Astyanax mexicanus: one gene and its partner. Each later gene encodes a partner of the first gene's protein in a complex. Links are inferred from orthologs where the notes say so. Each region holds a gene or a part of one and is shown on either strand. Other genes may lie near its edges. The genes, in order: lrp5 and fzd8a.

Region 1 (8,950 bases):
AGTCCTGTTTGAAAAATTGAAAAATGTGAAGCAAAAACTCAACAGAAATCACTGTGCTATGGATGACAGTGTATTTTAACAGCAATTTTACACCATTATTAACAGATTATTTATTTTTCTGCATTTTCTATTTATATGATAAAAAATAACTTAATCTGGTCTCGGCCTCAGACACTGCCGGTCTTGATCTACTGGCAAGGTCAAGGCAAGACGAAACATGTCACTGGTTGTGGCTTTCATACGGTTCATATCAAGCCCTAGTACAAAAAACATCCACCTTGGATTGGACTTTCAGTGTAAAAATATCCTTCACCATAGAACCCCTAAAGACCCCCCCCCCCCCCCCATTTAAAAATTTAAAATGGTTCTACAGCACCAGTATTGGGTCTGGGTTCAGTACTGTTCTCTTTTTCAGCACAATACAGACTCTTGTTGCTTAGTGTGCAAGTATTGCATGCTCTATCCTTACACTGCAACCGTAAGCATTTAATTTTCTTTTAGTTATGAAATTGTTCACAGGCTTAAGTGCAACATGTTAACCTACCACAATGACAGGGCCCAAAATCTAATCATATAATTTAAAAGTAAAAAGTAAAAAAGTAACAAGAATTTCTCATTTTGAAGTTCCTGTGAGAAAGCTAAAGAACAAAGCTCAGGTCCAGATTTCTACTGGACACCCGCAGCCAACGCCCCAGTAGATGTCTTCAATTCCACCACCAGCTCACCTGGTTTAACATCAATAATCACTGATTTACCAAACCAGGTGTTGGGGACAAATCAAACTACTACTAGACTCCCATGAAAAGAACTTTAGAGATGTTTTAATGAACAGTGATGTATGATGTGATCTTTTTCTGCACATCATAAAACAAAACAAAAAAATAAAGCCAAAAAGACTAAAAGACTAACAAAAAAATGATCACAAACTACCCAAAAAAGGGGGTCTCATTTAGATTTTCACAGGGGACTAACATTTTGCACAGTCCTGTATCTCAATGAGTCCAGCCATCTCACTCCCGATACTCAACAAATCAGTTCTGATTAAAGAGCCCATATGACAGAAAACCACAGAGTGCTTTTTAAATAGAAGACTTAACTAAAATGGCTTAAAACCACACTCTAGACAAAAAGCTTCAATATAGCACTGCAAAAATATTTGTTGTCCTTTTTTGGTGCTTTCCATTAAACCATTTCTTAAATATTTCTATATTAATCATCTTCCATCAACACAAAGAATACTAACAACACATTTTGCTTCAGTCAAGAACCCTTTTTGGCATACCATTTATACCCCAGTCCTTCTGTACAAACTGTTTTGGAGAGATCACAAAAAACACAATGCATTCCATCATTGTATATCTGCCTATTCAGTCTACATCAGTTCAGCTCCGCCCACACGCACTCACATTATAAGGAGTGTTTCAGCTCAGAGTGCCTTTTAAATTAGGCAGCCAGTCAGAACATAGGTAATTTACATATCAGTCTAAAAGTAATAGCGTGGGTCACGGTACGGGATAAAGAGATTGGTGCAAAAATGTATTCTGTTTTTGGATAATAAATCAACACAAATATTATTACTGGAAAAATAGTAAGGAAGTTGATGAATAAATACACCTTGGGTCATTAAATCACAGTAAAATCCTAACAACCTGAGAAAATAATCTATAAAGCTGTTTGTTGTTATTTCTGTACTGCTCTCCTGAAAGGTGTCTAGTATTCCCAGTTCCCATCTAATATTCAGTTTATCTAATCTGTTTTTCATTAAATGAAATCAGATGTTTGAACAGCACTGAACACACTTCACTCTCTGAGATCAAATGTAATATGTCCAGATTTATCCAATTTAAAATATCAGATAACTGATATTTAACCTATTTTAAAAAGAAACTATTTTTGATAGTGTGTAATTGTTTATTTACACACAAAATACTACTCTCCCCCTTTTTATATCTGTGTGCACTTCTGAGTCTGCTATTCGACACCAAGGCCAGGCAGTCAACCCTTCAGCCTCATTATCACTAAAGTAACCAAACACCTTGTGTCCATACTTCAGAATAAGAGAGTAAATCTGAGGTAAAACAGTAAACACTACCCCTAAATCTGAATAAAACTTTAGTTTACACATGTACACGTTTTTACACACTTACACATTCCACAGCAGCTGTGGAGCAGCAAGGCTTCAATCCACCCTAAAAGTAACCGAACCCAGTTTAAACATGCAGCAGGGCACTTGGGAAATGTTTATTTTCCCACATTTTTTGGTCTTAGTGAATTCAGCTTGAATGTGTGTGAAGTGTATGTGCTGTAGAAGTATTTAAATTTTGGTACCACATTTAATATTAAAATCTGAATTAAAGAGATTAGTTTACACAGTGTAGGTTTTTTTTTCTGGATATCCAGCTGATCTTAAGCTGTATTTAATATTTTAAGCTGCATTTAAAGTTAAAGTTGAATCTGGGCTAGGCTGAGCTGAATCTAAAAAAAATGAACAGAATTTAAAATAAAACCCGTGATAAACCTGATTTAAGTCCTAATGTAAATAAATCCTATGTTGAGGCAAATCTACATGAACTTTGAACCAAATCTGAGCCAATCTATGTTAATCCAACTCAAATGGACAAATCTGAGCTAAATCTTAACTAAAACTGATGTAACTCTAATCTGAATCAGAACCTGAATTAAATTTGAGCTGAACTGAATCAAAAGTGATTGTTTTGGCACTCATGAATAGAGCAAATAGCTTAGTTATTCTATTAATTGTGTTTTCTCTATAACAACTTTGTTTTTAACTGTATATGCAGGTTTATACGATTTTTAAAAATCATTATAACTGTGTTTAAAGACGTTTGTACTTCTTTTTATGGTGACAAACTATAGAGTATAAAAATGCTCAATTTAACTTCAGGATTACCATCTAACTATACCTTACATTTTTTTCATCTGTTCCCAAATAGGGTCGTTTACACCAATATCGTGTTTTATAACATTTAATTCGGTTTCTGATCACTTTTACAACTCCTGCAGCTCCATTTTCTCAGTGCATTTTCAGCAAATCCGCCTCCCAGAAAGTGTCCACTAAGTACACAATCACAGTTTAAACCAGTTTTAAACCGAATTAGAAACCGGTTCCTCCATGTGTTAGTATTTAGATGCGTGTTATACGGACTTGTACGCTGTTTACACGGCTTTAATCCGAGTTGCGGGACTTTTAGCAGCGATTTTCAGCACAAAATGTGAACAAAAGTCCTTCACTCACCGCACAGCACCGTCACACCGCAGCTCAGCAGCAGCAGCTGCGCGAATAAAAGCTCCATCTCGGGCCGTCCTCGCTTCAGCTGCGCGGCTTCAAATCCATGTTTCGGGTGGCTGGCGGGTCAGAAAAGTCCAAAAGCAACTTTTTAGTCCGCCTTGGAACCGCGAAAGTACTTTTATTCCGTCCGAGAGAAACACAGGACCGCGCTCTCTGTGTGGCTCCTACAGGGAATGACAGCGGAAACGGGTTCTGACGTCAGCGCCTGGGATCGTACTGATTTTTCTTTTTGCACCTGTTTTGGGGAGAGGCCCCGCCCCCTGCAATGTAATTGGCGCTCGGAGTTCACACTTGCCAGAGCCCTCGCGCGCAGCCTCGTCCTTCTACAACGGGAGGTGTCTCTGCGCATGAGCAAGAACTGCGAGCTCCAAGTGAGCCAATCAAGGCACGGAGGAGACGGGACTTTCCTGAATACGGGCGGGAAATAAAAAGCCGCCACAACTCCGGCGTGAAAAATACAACTCTAGATACAACCATTTAAAGCGGATTAAACCCAGAGCAACATGCAAATAGCTGCGTAATTCAATATAAACTGATAATGTTTGATTAAGATAAAGATATTTTAAAAACATTAAAAAGGTTTCATCTGAAAAAAAATCTAAATCAAATATTGATATGTTTAAGATGTTAAGATATTTTTATCAAGCATCAAATGGTTTCCACGGTTGTTATAAAACAAATATTAGTAGCTATTCTTGCTAAGAGTGTTTAAATATTTTTGTATTATTATGTTGTTATTATTATTATTATCATAATTATTATCTAAACTGAATTTAAATCTAATCTGGGTTGACTTTAATCTAAATCGAGTCAAATTTGAATCTGATCTACGCTGATCTGAATCGAAGCGAAATTTAATTTGAAACAAAAACTGAGTGAAGTGTAATTTTGAGCTGAAATTAATCTGAATCTGATCTGAGGTAACAGGGTATCTGAAGGTATTGAAGGAGATGTTGTTATTGGGAAGAGACATTTTGGATGTGGTTCTCTCCAACAGAGAAGAGACTGCCAGGAAACGGGTTGGGAAACATGGAGGACTTGTGTGCATTTGTGTGCGTGCGTGTGTGTGTGTGTGTGTGTGTCTACCTTTTGCAGGTCTGAGCCAGATTAAGGGGGTTAAAGTTCAGTTTAAAGTTATAAATTGATTGACTTGGTTTAGACAGCAGAACAACTTTCTTTACAAGGATTTCTTTTCTCTGATAAGCTTTCAGTCTCAGATTTCCAAGGCTCCAAGGCCTCTTACTAGTAAAAAATGGAAAAAATAAAATGTCCTTGCTTTTTTTTGTAAGAAGTGTAGTGCAGATCTTTGAGTCTAAAAATTTACACATTGTAGCTATGAGATTACATCCATGAACAGATTAATGGTTGACTGCCCACCAATCAACCCAGAGCAGTTTAACTATGATCATTCATGCTGCGTTTACTCTCAGTATATCCCATTTGTGTATTAATCAGTATGTTATCAGTCTTTGATTGTGAAATGTGTAGTACAGATAAAAGTGGAACTGGTCTGTTTTTGAGTGCAAATATCCCATAATGCAATGCAAAACGAATAGGGAGAAGCTACTTATGTCTAAAACAGTACTATAAAATTACACTGGCAGATAACAATGCAAATGCTGTAAAAATTCACCTGGAGAACTTGTTATTGTTATTGTTACTAGTATATACATTTTACAGTATTAGTGTGTAGTTCTTATTTAGAATGCAGCAAAGGAGTGTTTCAGAGCCATTAATAGACCCTTCTTCCATTGCAAAGAGGAACTGGAACTTTCAAGCATAAGGAAGATATAATAAAAATATATTTGAAACAGAGAAGTTCATTTAGTGATGACACAGGATGCTGCAATTAGAGGAAGCATCTAAAAATCCCCATTTTTGCCAGGAAGACTTGGTTTGAACACAGTTAAATGTATTAATTATACAAAACTGTGTTAAATTGAATTGAACTGTTCAAATTCCCACACATTCTTAAAAAAAGTTGTAATGATAAACCATTTACTCCTTTGTTGCCATCGCTTTTCTTGGCGATGAAGTTCTATTTTTTCAGCTTGTTATGATAACGGGCTGTAGAATGTGGTACAACACAGGGCAGACAGAATTAGTCTTAAATACTAAGCAATAGCAATAAATAGACTAAGTGAATAAGACCATGACTGGTTTCTCTTTTAAGTCTCAGTTTCTCTCAGTGGTTCTTCCTCCTGCTCTTAGGCTTTTTTTTAAGCCTTTTTGGCTCTCAGAGGCTGCTTTTGGGTAGTGTACCTCTTTGTGAGAGATCAGTGACTGGTAGGCATGCCTTTATGATGCATGTTTTTGAACTGTATCATTAAAATGAGAAAAGCAGGATGGTCATTTTGACACACTGTCTGCCATCTAGGCCAGGAGTATAAAATATATGTAATAAGGTCCGCTTATGAAATATTCACTACGTTGAAAGTCCATACAGACAAACATGCAACATAAAAATCAAAAACACTATAATGGCAGAAAGTATTAGGACACCTGCTTATTTGTTGTTTCTACTTCTTTTTTTAGTTTATCCTGCTTTTGTTAGAGTAACTGCCTCTATTGTTTACTCCACCTCATCCATAATTTTCCAAAAAATCCAGAGACAAGTTACACTGCTTCACAGCTCAATGCTAGAGGGTTTTACTATTCTAGAACTAATTCAATACAATACTTAAGTACTAAATTGCTGCATCTGTACTGTATACCTTTTTATGTGCTGCATTAATGCTCGTTACCATTCTAAAAAAGTTAAAAATGTTTCAAACCCACATTATCACTAAAGCCAGATAAGTAGATCCTCTGCACTGTCTCCAGGTTTGACAAAGCTTCTCATCATTGTGTAAATCAAGCAGATCTTAAAAGAAGACCTTGTTGCTCCTGTTTCTCCTTTCACTGAGAACTTTCAACTGCTTAACATATAACACGGTACTGTTCTTTTACTTGCAGTACTCCAGTACTACATTATACAATAAACTACATGCAATACTTAAGTACAAAAATGTTAAATAATTTAGTTCTTCTACATTTACTAAGTATCCAATCACCTGCGCAATGCAGTCTTTGGTAAAAGGCTTACATGGAGTTGCTCGGTCATGGAAACCCATTCCATGAAGCTCCTAATGCTCTGCTGTTCTTTAGCTAATGTGAAGACCACATTAAGTTTGAAGGTCTGCAGTGATTGATTCTGCAGGAAGTTGGTGACCTCTGCACACTATGCTGCACACTAACAGAGATAGTTGCTTTCATATCCAGTCGCTTCCACTGTGTTATAATATCACTGACAGTTGGCTGTGGAATATTTGGTAGTGAGGACATTTCATGACTGGACTTGTTGCTATCAGGGTATAACACTGGAGCTTACTGAGCTCCTGAGAGACCCATTATTTCACTAATGTTTGTAGAAGCTTTCTGCATACCTAGCTGCTTGGTTTTATACACCTGTGGCCATGGAAGCGATTGAAACCTGGGTCCAATGATTTGGGTAAGTGAAATATCCCTTTAAAGAAGAATCTTTAAGTCTTATTTCTCTCTGTGACTTCCAGTGATGAGGTAAACAGGACACTTGGAGTGCTGTGGACTAGAATTGTATGATCTTTAATGCTGAAAACAGGTTCTGTATGGGATCTGACGATGGGGGCTTTAAGTATGAAAGCCTTGTAGTGACACTTTAATCCTGCTTTTGCTGTGGAGCATCACTCTGCCCCGGCTGCTGGTTGGATGATCTGGGGAGCCAATTCATACAACAAGCGGTCACCCCTAGTAGTGATATGAAGGACACTAACAACTCAGAGATATGTGTAGGACATCCTGCAGACTGGTGTTGTCTCTCATAGCAGGGCTTCTAACTGCTATTTTTCAGCAGGATAATGCTCACCCACACACAGCAAGGGTTTCCGAGGAATGTCTTTCGGCAACAAATCCTTGGTCTGACTTATCGCCAATCACTACTACTACTTCTACTATCACATCTAGTAGTAATATTAGTGATAATAGTATATTTTTTTACTAAGACTTTTTTAATGACCGTTATTTATGTCAATTAAACATATCTGCTGGTTAAGATGGTTAAACATTTGCCACCCTTGTTGTTAAAACAGTCAGAGAGAGAGAAAGAAAGAGTGCAAGAGGTCAAACAGGGAAAGAGAGAGAGACAGGGTGAAAGAAAAAGAGAAAGAAAGTGATTGGGTTTAACAGGGTGAGAAATAGAGAGAGAGGGAGGGAGGTAAAGAGAGGTGCGTGTGAGAGGAGTGGGCAGTGATTCAGAGCCCAGAGAAAAATGCCATAATGAAACCTGTCTTTACGGTCACCTGTGCAGAGAGGCCTGCGGCGCTTGCTTTGATCCACCAGGCCCTGTCCACAAATAAAACTCTCTCTCTCTCCCTCTCCCTCAGTTTGTGTTTTATACGCCTCAGAGCTGGAGCTTGCCGGCCAAATCGCTGCCAAGACTGAATATAAGACATAGTTTGTGAGGTAATGAAGGCCATGTGGAACAGGTTCTCTAAAACACACGGCCTCCTGCAGCAGAACGTCAGCAAGCTCAACGCTAACACCCTTTCAACCACCTACCACTACCCACAATACATCACTTTAATATTACAGTCACATAACCCAAAAGGCCCTGATTTCCTGCTGCTTCAGACGGCCAGAAAACAGGAATGCTATTGTTTTCTATAACAGAAGATAAAATATTAAAGAGATACTTCAGCAAAAACAACAACCCCCCTTTACCTCATATACACACGCATCATACACTGGACTCTTCTATGAACATTCAACTGTAAACAAGAATATTAAAAATATTTTATCCTACTTTTGTTAGCGTAACAGTCTCTACTTTACAGGGAAAACTTTCTGCTACATTTTGGAGCATTTGCTGTGAGGTTCAGATTGCATTCAGTGACAAAAGCATTAATGAGGTCAGAATGTTGGATGGATGATCCGTACCTCACTTCACTGCCAACTCCCCAACTCATGCCATAGGTATGGTATAGAGCACCATTATTTCAGAGAACACAGTTCCACTGCTCTATATCTCAACGCTGTAGGGTCCCGTTAGATCAAACATGGCATTGGGTAAAGTGCCAATAGGTTCATGTTCATCTGCTCCAGAGAGTCCTATTGTATTAGTAATGGTTTTCTACACAAAAAAGGAATGCTATGTGTGCATTTAAAAGAGAGTTATCTCACACTCTATCATACTGGTCACTGGAAGTTCAACATGGCAACTCATGGCAAATAACTCTCTGAGGATTTAAAAAAAAGGATTATTGCTCTACACAAAGATGACCCTGACACTGTGCCACAGAACGGTGGCAGCAAGGTGGTGGATTGTCATCCCAGCTGGCCACCAACGTCAATAGACGTTAATTTTAGTTTGAATGTTGGTCATGATTTCAGATTACAAAAAAAAAAACATCAACATAACATCTTAAACTGTTGCGTGCCTGCACGGATGGTTTGGGGCTGCATGAGTGCCGCCGGCTGTGGGGAACTACAGTTCACTACCCTAGCGAACTTGTACTTTGCCATACTAAAGCAGAGCAACTGGGCCGCAGAGCAGTATTCCAACAATACAATACAATACCAACCCCAAACACACCTCCAACATAACTACTGCCTTGTTAAAGAAAA
Region 2 (9,496 bases), on another chromosome or scaffold:
ATATGTAGCTTGTGCTGGAAGAAAGCTTGTTGAAAGCATAAAATGATGATATATTAATTTAAAGAGTCTTGTTTTAATTAAATTTGTGTTTTATGGGCCTTACTAAACAATAAGATGTAAATGCAGAGTGAAAATCCATTTAAAATGCAAACGACTCAATAAATGTGGTTTAAGTTAGCGCTGACTCGTCAGAAACAATTTAACCATGTAAAGTACATTCAAGTCATCTTTTAGGATATTGTAGCTTAAATTTAAAATGATCCAAGTGTCTTACACACTGTCGTTTCTTTAGTTTTGCCCTCAAGCTAACAGAAAAAATGTAGTTTAAAAGTAATAAAAATGAATTTAGCCTGGTAGCACATTCTGGACAACAGAAGTTTGTTTTCAGGGTGAAAAATGTGTAACTAAATGAGATTTCTCTGTGACCCATTCCTTTAAAATGCCAAATTAACTGGAACTTAAATAGTACAACCAAAAGCAAGTAAACAACATATGATAATATTCACTGAATACCACTAAAGTGTGAAAGCTGACTTAATAAAAGAGCAAACACTGTGGCCCCAAATAGGCTAAAGGGCTAAATAACCTTCTTACTGTGTACCAAAGCTGGACAATGTGTTAAAAAATTTCACCCCCCTCCGCCGAGTGTGATCGCAACAGGCCTGTGTGGGACAAAACAAGAAAGCATACTGTTTCATTTGCCATCAGGCAACATTTTCCAGAGAGCTTCTTTGTCTAAGCTTTAATGCAGTTCTGTCAGGGCTCACACTAAAGGTCCCTGGATGGGGGATTACTGTAAAGGGACCACCTGTAGGGGGGCCATTCACTCCCTCTCACGTCTGAGACTAAAACTCCACCATTAATAATACAGCTGAAGCTGGAGTAAGACGTTTTTGATGGCGCTCTCAAATTAGACATTAGACAACTTGGTGCATTGGCAGCAGGGAAGAAAAAAAAACTTCTATCTACATGTCACCTTTATTGGAGACTTTAAAGAGAGATCAAAGTTTCCCATAGATGAAAAGAGCCCTGTTCCCTGCATTTAAACCCCATTCACTCAGCCCCTCTTGGAGTAAATTAAGTGAAGAGCGCAACAATTATGGAGATTCTCCAACTCAAGCTCCTCGCCTCTAATTACGGCCCCAGATAGCTAAGAGCTAAGAAAAGCTTCTCTTTACAAGGCCCCACAAAAGAGCCCAGAACAAGCACCTTCAATAGGGTCACCCCCATAAAAAAGGAGAGGAAAAAAAAGAAAAACCCTCGTTACTCACCTAGAGACGAAAATACAAAAGTTTTAAGATTTCTCCAAATGTTTTATTGTCAAAATAAAATTCATATTTGTCTTCAAGTGACATCTACACTATATACAAATTTACAATAATTTTATAAATCTTTTTTGTACAGAATTTACAAAGTTTGTACACAACAATTGTATAAATACAATTTACAGAAAAGCAAAAAAAAACAACCCGTAAAATATTTGGGCACTAAGACTTTTAAGGCTTATTCGAGACAGTCTTTGATATTTTGATTGTTTAGACATTTCAAGCTGTCTTGCGCTACGTAAAAAGTGTAAAAGTGAAGCAACAACAACTTTTCCTTTAAAGGCTGGCTAAAGGATGGGGGCGAACGTCCAAACTTCACTTAAGACAGTGTGGTGCCCCGATTCTCTCTAGGCGTCACTGATTGCATGGCATGTCCATATCAATAGAATGGAAAGAAAATAATAATAATACCAACAACAATAATAATAATAATAATAATGACAAGTACCTTGTTTCTACCAGCCTTTCTTGCTGCTGGCCTAATAGAAACCATTAGCAGTCCATTTGTATGTTAATAAAGGGAAAGGCTAATGCATGACCTCCTCCAGGCAGTCAGCAGTCCATTGTCTTTTTATTCAGACCTGGGATAAGGGCATCTGTTTGGGGCAGGACACAGAGCTGGCTGTGCCTGAGCGCCATGTGAGCCCCGTGCTCACATCACTGTAAGTGGAGCCGCTCGTGCCTTTGCTGCCCCAGCAGCAGCGCGTGCACAGGGCCCGCCAAGAGTCCAAAGTCTTGCCTGACCAAATCCAAACACCGGACGTGATGCCCACAGAGAGGCACATAAAGTACTTAAGCATAAAGACAGCATAGTCAGGCCTCCGGAGCTCATGCTCCATCAGGCACGAGCAGTTGTGGCTGGTCTCCCAGCTTTGCCTGTTGTGCTGTTCATAAAAGTAACATGCCACAATAATGGTGGCTGGCACTGTGTAAAGTACTGTGAAAATTCCGATTCGGATCATCAGCTTCTCCAGTTTGTCCGTTTTAGTGCCACCTTGTTTTATAACGCTTCGGATCCTAAACAGGGACACAAAACCTGCCAACAGGAACATGGTGCCTATGAACAAGTAGATGACCAGGGGTGCCAGCACGAAGCCCCGGAGGTTGTCCAGGTTCTGGTTCCCCACGTAGCAAATCCCAGCCACAGGGTCCCCGTCCACAGAGCTCAGGGCCAAAACAGCAATGGACTTCATGCTTGGGATGAGCCAGGCAGCCAGGTGGAAGTACTGTGAGTAGCTGGCTATGGCCTCATTGCCCCACTTCATGCCCGCTGCAAGGAACCACGTGAGGGACAGAATCACCCACCAGATTGAGCTGGCCATGCCGAAAAAATAGATCAGCAGAAAGACAACAGTGCAAAGTGCAGGCCCTGTCGTCTCATAGTGCACATGCTCCACATCATACTCCCGGCTGCATGCAACCTTTTCGTGGCCCGCAATCAGTCTCACAATGTAGCCAATGGAAACAAACATATAACAGGCTGAGAGGAAAATGATGGGCCTCTCTGGGTACTTAAATCGCTCCATGTCGATCAGAAAAGTGGCCACAGTTGCAAAAGTGGACACAAAGCACAGCACAGACCACAACCCGATCCAAAAAGCTGTGAAAGTCCTCTCGTCTTGGGTGAAGTACGGGTTGTGGCAGGGCATGGCACAGTTGGGCATCTGGCCGGTCTTGACACGGTTGTACAGTGGGTGTCTTTCGCTGTTCACCCTCACCATGGGTGCACGGCACTGGCAACCCGGGTCACAGGGAGACCCAGGCTTGCGCTTGGGCGGCTGCACACCTGGCCGCCCGTGCTTGGTCCTGTGAGGAGGTACATGTGGCTTGCCCGGCCGTCCTGTGGGCTTGGAGAGCACAGGTGAAGCTGTGGTGGAGTCAGTCCGGTTGTAGTCCATGCACAGGGTGTCCGGGTCACCCTGGACTGGCAGCGTGTCACAGCGCATGCGGTCCGGCCAGGGGAAGCCGTACTGCCTCATGAGGGGAGCGCAGCCGGCCCGTGCCCGCTCACACACGCTGCGGCAGGGTGGCAGTGGCTTCTTGTAGTCCTCCAGGCAGATGGGGGTGTACATGCTGCAGAGGAAGAAGCGCAGGTCCGGTGAGCACTGGATCTCCACCAGAGGCCAGAACTGGTGCACCTCCAGGCCTGCTTCATCCTGGGTGTCATGGTTGAACTGGTTGGGCATGTACGTGTGGTTGTACCCCACTCCTTTGCACAGGGGTACAGCGATCTCCTGGCAGGTGAGCTCCTTGGCTGTGGTTCCGCTGGAGCGCTGAAGGGTGCCCAGGGCCAGGAACAGGAACAGGTAAATCCCCAACAGGTAGCACTCCATGCTCCAGCAAATCCTGCTCTGCACCTCTTAGTGACAATAGAGGAGAGCTGCCGCTGCTCCTGCTGGATGAGTCTACAGTCCACCAGTCCTTGCTGTTGTTATTGTAGGCTATTGTATGAATGCCCTGCAATAGCTTAAGTCCCATCAGATCTTCAGGCGCGATCCCATCACGCCGCACGGAGTTGCACCGATTTGCAAAACCGTGTAACGCGCAGGAGGCAGCAGAGGAGGAGCGGTGCGCGAGAGGGGAAAAACCGGACAGAAAAAAAATCACAGCCCCCTAGGCGTGTAGGCAAAATGGCTGAGGATATGCAGCCGTCTCGGAGCGCCGTCCACTTCGCCTTATTCCCTTATTCCCGAGCGCGCCGCGTCCTTCAGCTCGTTGCCGCCGCGCCGATTCCAGCGCGCCCTGGAGAAATGGAAGTTTACGCACAGAAGCTGAAGAATAAAGAGCAGATCCGCCGTCGGAGTGCATGCGGCGAGCTGACAAAGCCTCTCTCTCTCTCTCATACAAATCCGCGCACTGACTGGGACGCTTTGCCTATTTATGAGGACGGCTGCTAAACCACGCCCCAGCGCGGAGCGCGCCAATCAGCTCGCAACGGGGCGGAGCCCAGCAGCTCAGCCAGTCGAGTTTACTCAAGGTGTTCATTTGCAGCAAAAGCTGAGGGATAGTGTGTTTTCCTGCATAGGGTTTTAGATAGATGGATGGATTGATGGATGGATCTATAGGCAGATAGACAGACTCCAAATTCAAAATTAAAATATTGTAATTCAGAGCATTTATTTGCAGAAAATGAGAAATGATTGAAATAACAAAACAATGCAGAGCTTTCAGACCTCAAACAATGCAAAGAAAACAAGTTCATATTCATAAAGTTTTAAGATCTCATATATCAATATTATGAGGAATAACCCTGTTTTTTATTCACAGTTTTAATGCATCTTGGAATGTTCTCCTCCACCAGTCTTACACACTTCTTTTGGATAACTTTATACCACTCCTGGTGCACATTTTCAAGCAATTCAGCTTGGTTTAATGGCTTATGATCACCCATCTTCCTCTTGATTATATTTCAGAGGTTTTCAATTATATTAAAGGTAAAATAAATAATAGAAAAAAAACCTCATTTTTAAGTGATCTCTTATTTTTTCCAGAGCTGTAGGTAACACTTTATACCTAAACCTTAAATCTAAGCATAAACCTAACACTAAAATGTTAAGATTAGAGTTCTGATTAGAGTTGGATGTAGGGTTACATTTAATAAAGATACATTTACTTTCAGTTGCATTTAATATACATGCAGTTAAATGTAATTTGAATGTCAGTTAGCATCTATGGGACATCTATAATTGACCACTTAAATTACGAGACATCTAAAAAAACATATAAAAAAACAATATTGTGTGTATAAACCTGGATTTACACTAATCGGATGAGCAGATTTTTAACCATTTTATCCAACAAAGTCACACTTTCATCTGAAACCAGCTACCAGCAGAAGCTGGTCTTGAGCATTTTTCAATATGTATTGATATTTTCTTTAAAATACTGTATATAAATTCTGCAGTTTTCCTAGCAGTTATGTTTGCTGCAATTCAGCCCCTATTTATCACATAACATATTTCTACTTCTACTTCTACTACTACTACTACTACTACTACTACTACCAATAATAATAATAATAATAATAATAATAATAATAATAATAATAATAATAATAATAATAATAATAATAATAATAATGAGACACACTTTCCTGCTCTATTGTCAGAAAACAGCTAATTTGCTGTGAGTAAGAGCTTTCTATCGGGTGATGCGTTCATTAGCACATGCTAAGTGGTCCCGCGAGGGGGGCTGCTGGTTGTCCTGCCTTGCAGCATGGGGTGTTTAGTTTTGTATTGATGTGCTGATGGGGGGCTTAAATGCTTGCATGGAACTCACGCAGGGGGGCGTAATGACGGGGAGGCCAAGAACAAGCAGAGAAGTTTGTTAACAGTGGCAGAGCAACAAGAAACCACCCCCCATTCCACACTGTGTCCTCCCTGCACTAACAACTCATTATCACTGAGAGGAACTGGAAATACACCGTCTAGCACTGAGTCACGACCAGTCAAGTTTTGGTCCAGTCTGGAAGACAGAGCTTCGTTACTTGTTCATACAAGACCCGTCTGAGACCCATTAACTTCTCTTCTGGACCAATAACCTTGCTATAGTTAATGGGAAATATAGCTGAAATTAATTAAAATGATTAAAAGGTTACATATTTTTTTTTACATATTTTTACATATTACTTTATTATAAAGGTAGATATAGGTAATGTGGTACATTACAAAGGCAAACATAGTTAATGTGCCATATTATAAAGGAAAATATAGGTCATGTGCGATTATTTAGAGGTAAATATTGTCAATGTATATATAATATAGTTAGTGTGAAATATTACAAATGTAAATATAATAAGAATATTTATTTAAGTATATGTTACAATGCTAAACACAGTTAATGTGACATACATACAGGTATACATAGATAATGTGGCATAAAACAGAGGTAAATGTAGTTAATGTTTCAAATAACAGATGGAAATACAGATACTGTGTCATAATACAGAGTTAAACATGTCATATTACACAAGTATGATTGTGTTTAATCAGCTCTAGCCAAAGGTCTTCACCAACAAAACTAGCTGAAACCTAGTAAAGGTTTCTATGTATGAAATTGTACTTAAATGTGAACAAAGGACACATTTATTAGAAACCACATTAACTTCCACTTCTAACATAGAAACTCCACATCAACAATCATGTAATAACAACCCACAGATAAAAGATAATAAATTAAAGGCTTTTTTTCCCATTGATCTACACTTTGTTCTCATTTCCTCACTCTTTCATGCTTTAATGTGACAAAACATCAAACAAATCTAAAAATGTGTTCGTCCTTCATCAATGAAGTTGAAAGTTATTTTAATGTTCATCATCAGGTCATAATAGGGTTGTAATACACATACATGAGTATGGGGAGGGCCTTGTTTTGGACGGGGGAGGGGGGCTCCTCCCCTCCCCCTCCCTTTTCCTTGAAAACTCAGTGTATGTGGCCAGAGTGCATGAAATGATTATCTAATTTCCCTGAGCACAGGGAACAGGTGTGTATTCTGAGGTCCCCACTGAGTGTGGCAGATGAAAAAACGGCATCGCTTTCACTGATTATGCGTATTATTGGCAGAGCCCATATTGATTAACAGAGAGATAGACCCCACTCTAGTCTCCAGCAGTCGGAGCGTAACCTCTCCCCCCTCCCGGTGGAGGCCCACAGCAGGCCCGGCTTGGGTTACATGGTGCCCGGGCATTCCTCAGCACAAATGGAATTAGTGCATCTGTTCGAAAGTTAATTTTCAAATCGCCATTGAGTCACTCTATAGAAAGAGAAAAGACTGCGGCTGGGGCCAAGAGGGGGAAGCGCTCCTGCTCGAGTGTCAGTATGAGCGGGAAGAAAAGCTCAGCACTGTGGAAAAAGTCTGTTCTCGACTATTAGAACGTACTGAAACATCTGGGAATTAATTCAGTTAATTTACAGCAAAATACAAATCTGCCTGGATGTTTAAACCGTGTGTAATCTTAATATTCTGTATACCTGCTGTGTCCTAAATGTCAAAAAAAGTTCCCAAAACAATATATGTATCCTGTTGGTGTATAGGTTTCATGGAAGTATGAACGAAAACAACATTTCACTTTCTTTAATACTGGAGAAACTCTAGGAAAAGTAATTAAAAGTAAAAAAGAATAACCTTATGGCAACACAAGGGTTAAAAAATGGTAAAAACAAACTACAATGGTTTAATACTAATGTAGGACAGTGGTATAGTGCACATTAATTTTCCACAAAGTTTATACACTAAATACTAACACATTGTTGAGTATGTAATTTCAGTAATTTAAACAAAAGATTTCATGTTTCTTCTCTTGGTCAACATTTTTTACTCTCTAAAATAAAATGAAAACTGAATAATTCATACAAAACATGGATATTGTTAATAAAATCAAATCACAACAAGCTGGCATGTTAAAAATTAAGGGAATTTATTTAATGCAACTGAGAAAATAAGTGCAAAATAAAAGAAAATAATGATAATTAAGGAACTTCAATTGACAATTGAAAACTTTTCATACTTGAAATACCCCCAGAATTTAAAAAAAAGACCAGGTAAAAAACAATAAAAACGTGCCTATTTGTGCTTCTAATATGTAAACAATTGAAATTAAGCAATTGTGTCAAACAAAAATGTGTAATTAGAAAAATGTGTTTATCTTGGTCACTCCCGTAGACCCGTAAAACCCATAACCTCAGCCTAATCTAATGCTGTTCAACATGTTAATGACACACTCGGCATGCCTGTGTGTTTGCCCATTAGCATAGTATGTATTCAAAGGGCAAACAATGTGATTAGGTCTGATTATCTTTATAGGAATGGGCTGCATATTAGCAGTGTTTACATTTTATTAGCCCTCACATACAGGCTGTCGCCCTGCGCCGTGTGTATTGGTGGCCAATCAGGACTAATTTCAGCTCACACTCTGAGTTTGGATAATTTTTTTGTTTATCAGGGTTGTAGAAAATATAAGCAGAAAATGTGACTTTATAATAGCCAGATTATTTCATTTTGGAACAATTGTTTAGCTGGGGCATTAGAGAGAGAGAGAGAGAGAGAGAGACATTAATACGGTCTGCTTATGGTGGTCAGGTAATGATTCACAGTGAGTTAGAGCTGTGGAGGTCTCGGTTCAGATTTATGGCTGATGCTGCAGTTACTGAGTGACAGAGAGCATGTGAATATTGTTCCTCAGACCTTTTCATCTCAAAACAATAGACCCAAGGTCAAAGAGATACACTATTGTAGAAATCAGATTGAGCTCTCTGTGCTGTGACTATGTGTATTCTGTATGCTTTTGGAGTGTGTAGCGATTCTTGCTGTATTTATATTAATGTCTTCTACTAGAACAGGGGTTCTCAACCTTTTTAATGGTCAATAAGTCACAAACAGCTTTTATAGAATACAAACCACACTTTTTTGCCTTCAAAATAGCCTTTAAAGCCTATTTAAACATAGCTTTCAGACCTCAAATAATGCAAGAAATATAAAACAAGTTCATAGAGTTCAGAAATCAATATTTGATGGAATAACCCTGGTTAATCACAGTTTTCATGCATCTTGGCATGTTCTCCTCCACCAGTCTTACACACTGCTTTTGGATAACTTTATGCCACTTCTGCCAAACTGCAGTTTTAAACAAATTTTTGTATCATACCAGTTTATTCAGTGCACATTTATCATTGTATTGTTGCTGCATTTAATGCTGGTATACATATGCTCAAACTACACATGTCTATGACAAATATACATATAACCTTGTATCCCCCCCTGCATTTTTGACACAATATAAAAGCTCTAAAATGACTTAAAATAAAACTGACTATTGAAATTTGGTGACGAGATGAGATGAGGTTTTTCTGGTCAGGCAGAAATAAGCTATATACAACATATTATATAAATAATAATAAATAATAACAATATAAATATAACTTCTAAGTTAGTCTTATTAATTATTAGTCTTCATTTCATATTACGTTAGTTAACAACCCAGTTCCTACTGTTAGTTTTATGTTAACTACAATGAAACTACAATGTTATTTACAAATGAAAGAACCTAAATGTATGTAATGTTTGTGAACAACTGAGCAGGAAAGTCCTTTCATCTGATCTTTTCATCTTAAAATAATTCACCCAAGATCAAACAGCTTGAGAGTGTTTGTAGTATGACAGTTTTCATTCAGTG

The links.
Region 2: lrp5 (region 1) and fzd8a share a complex: the UniProt entries of both Homo sapiens proteins name them as parts of the wnt-signaling complex. The link is inferred for Astyanax mexicanus from reciprocal best matches to the Homo sapiens genes LRP5 and FZD8.

The regions. Positions count from the first base shown.
Region 1 is NC_064417.1:10,262,729-10,271,678, reverse strand, and holds the start of lrp5 (low-density lipoprotein receptor-related protein 5), read right to left. Parts: upstream 3,508-8,950; 5' UTR 3,315-3,507; coding exon 3,257-3,314; intron 1-3,256. UniProt on the Homo sapiens protein: Acts as a coreceptor with members of the frizzled family of seven-transmembrane spanning receptors to transduce signal by Wnt proteins.
Region 2 is NC_064413.1:47,784,687-47,794,182, reverse strand, and holds fzd8a (frizzled-8a), read right to left. Parts: upstream 4,173-9,496; 5' UTR 3,659-4,172; coding exon 1,901-3,658; 3' UTR 1,288-1,900; downstream 1-1,287. UniProt on the Homo sapiens protein: Receptor for Wnt proteins. Component of the Wnt-Fzd-LRP5-LRP6 complex that triggers beta-catenin signaling through inducing aggregation of receptor-ligand complexes into ribosome-sized signalosomes.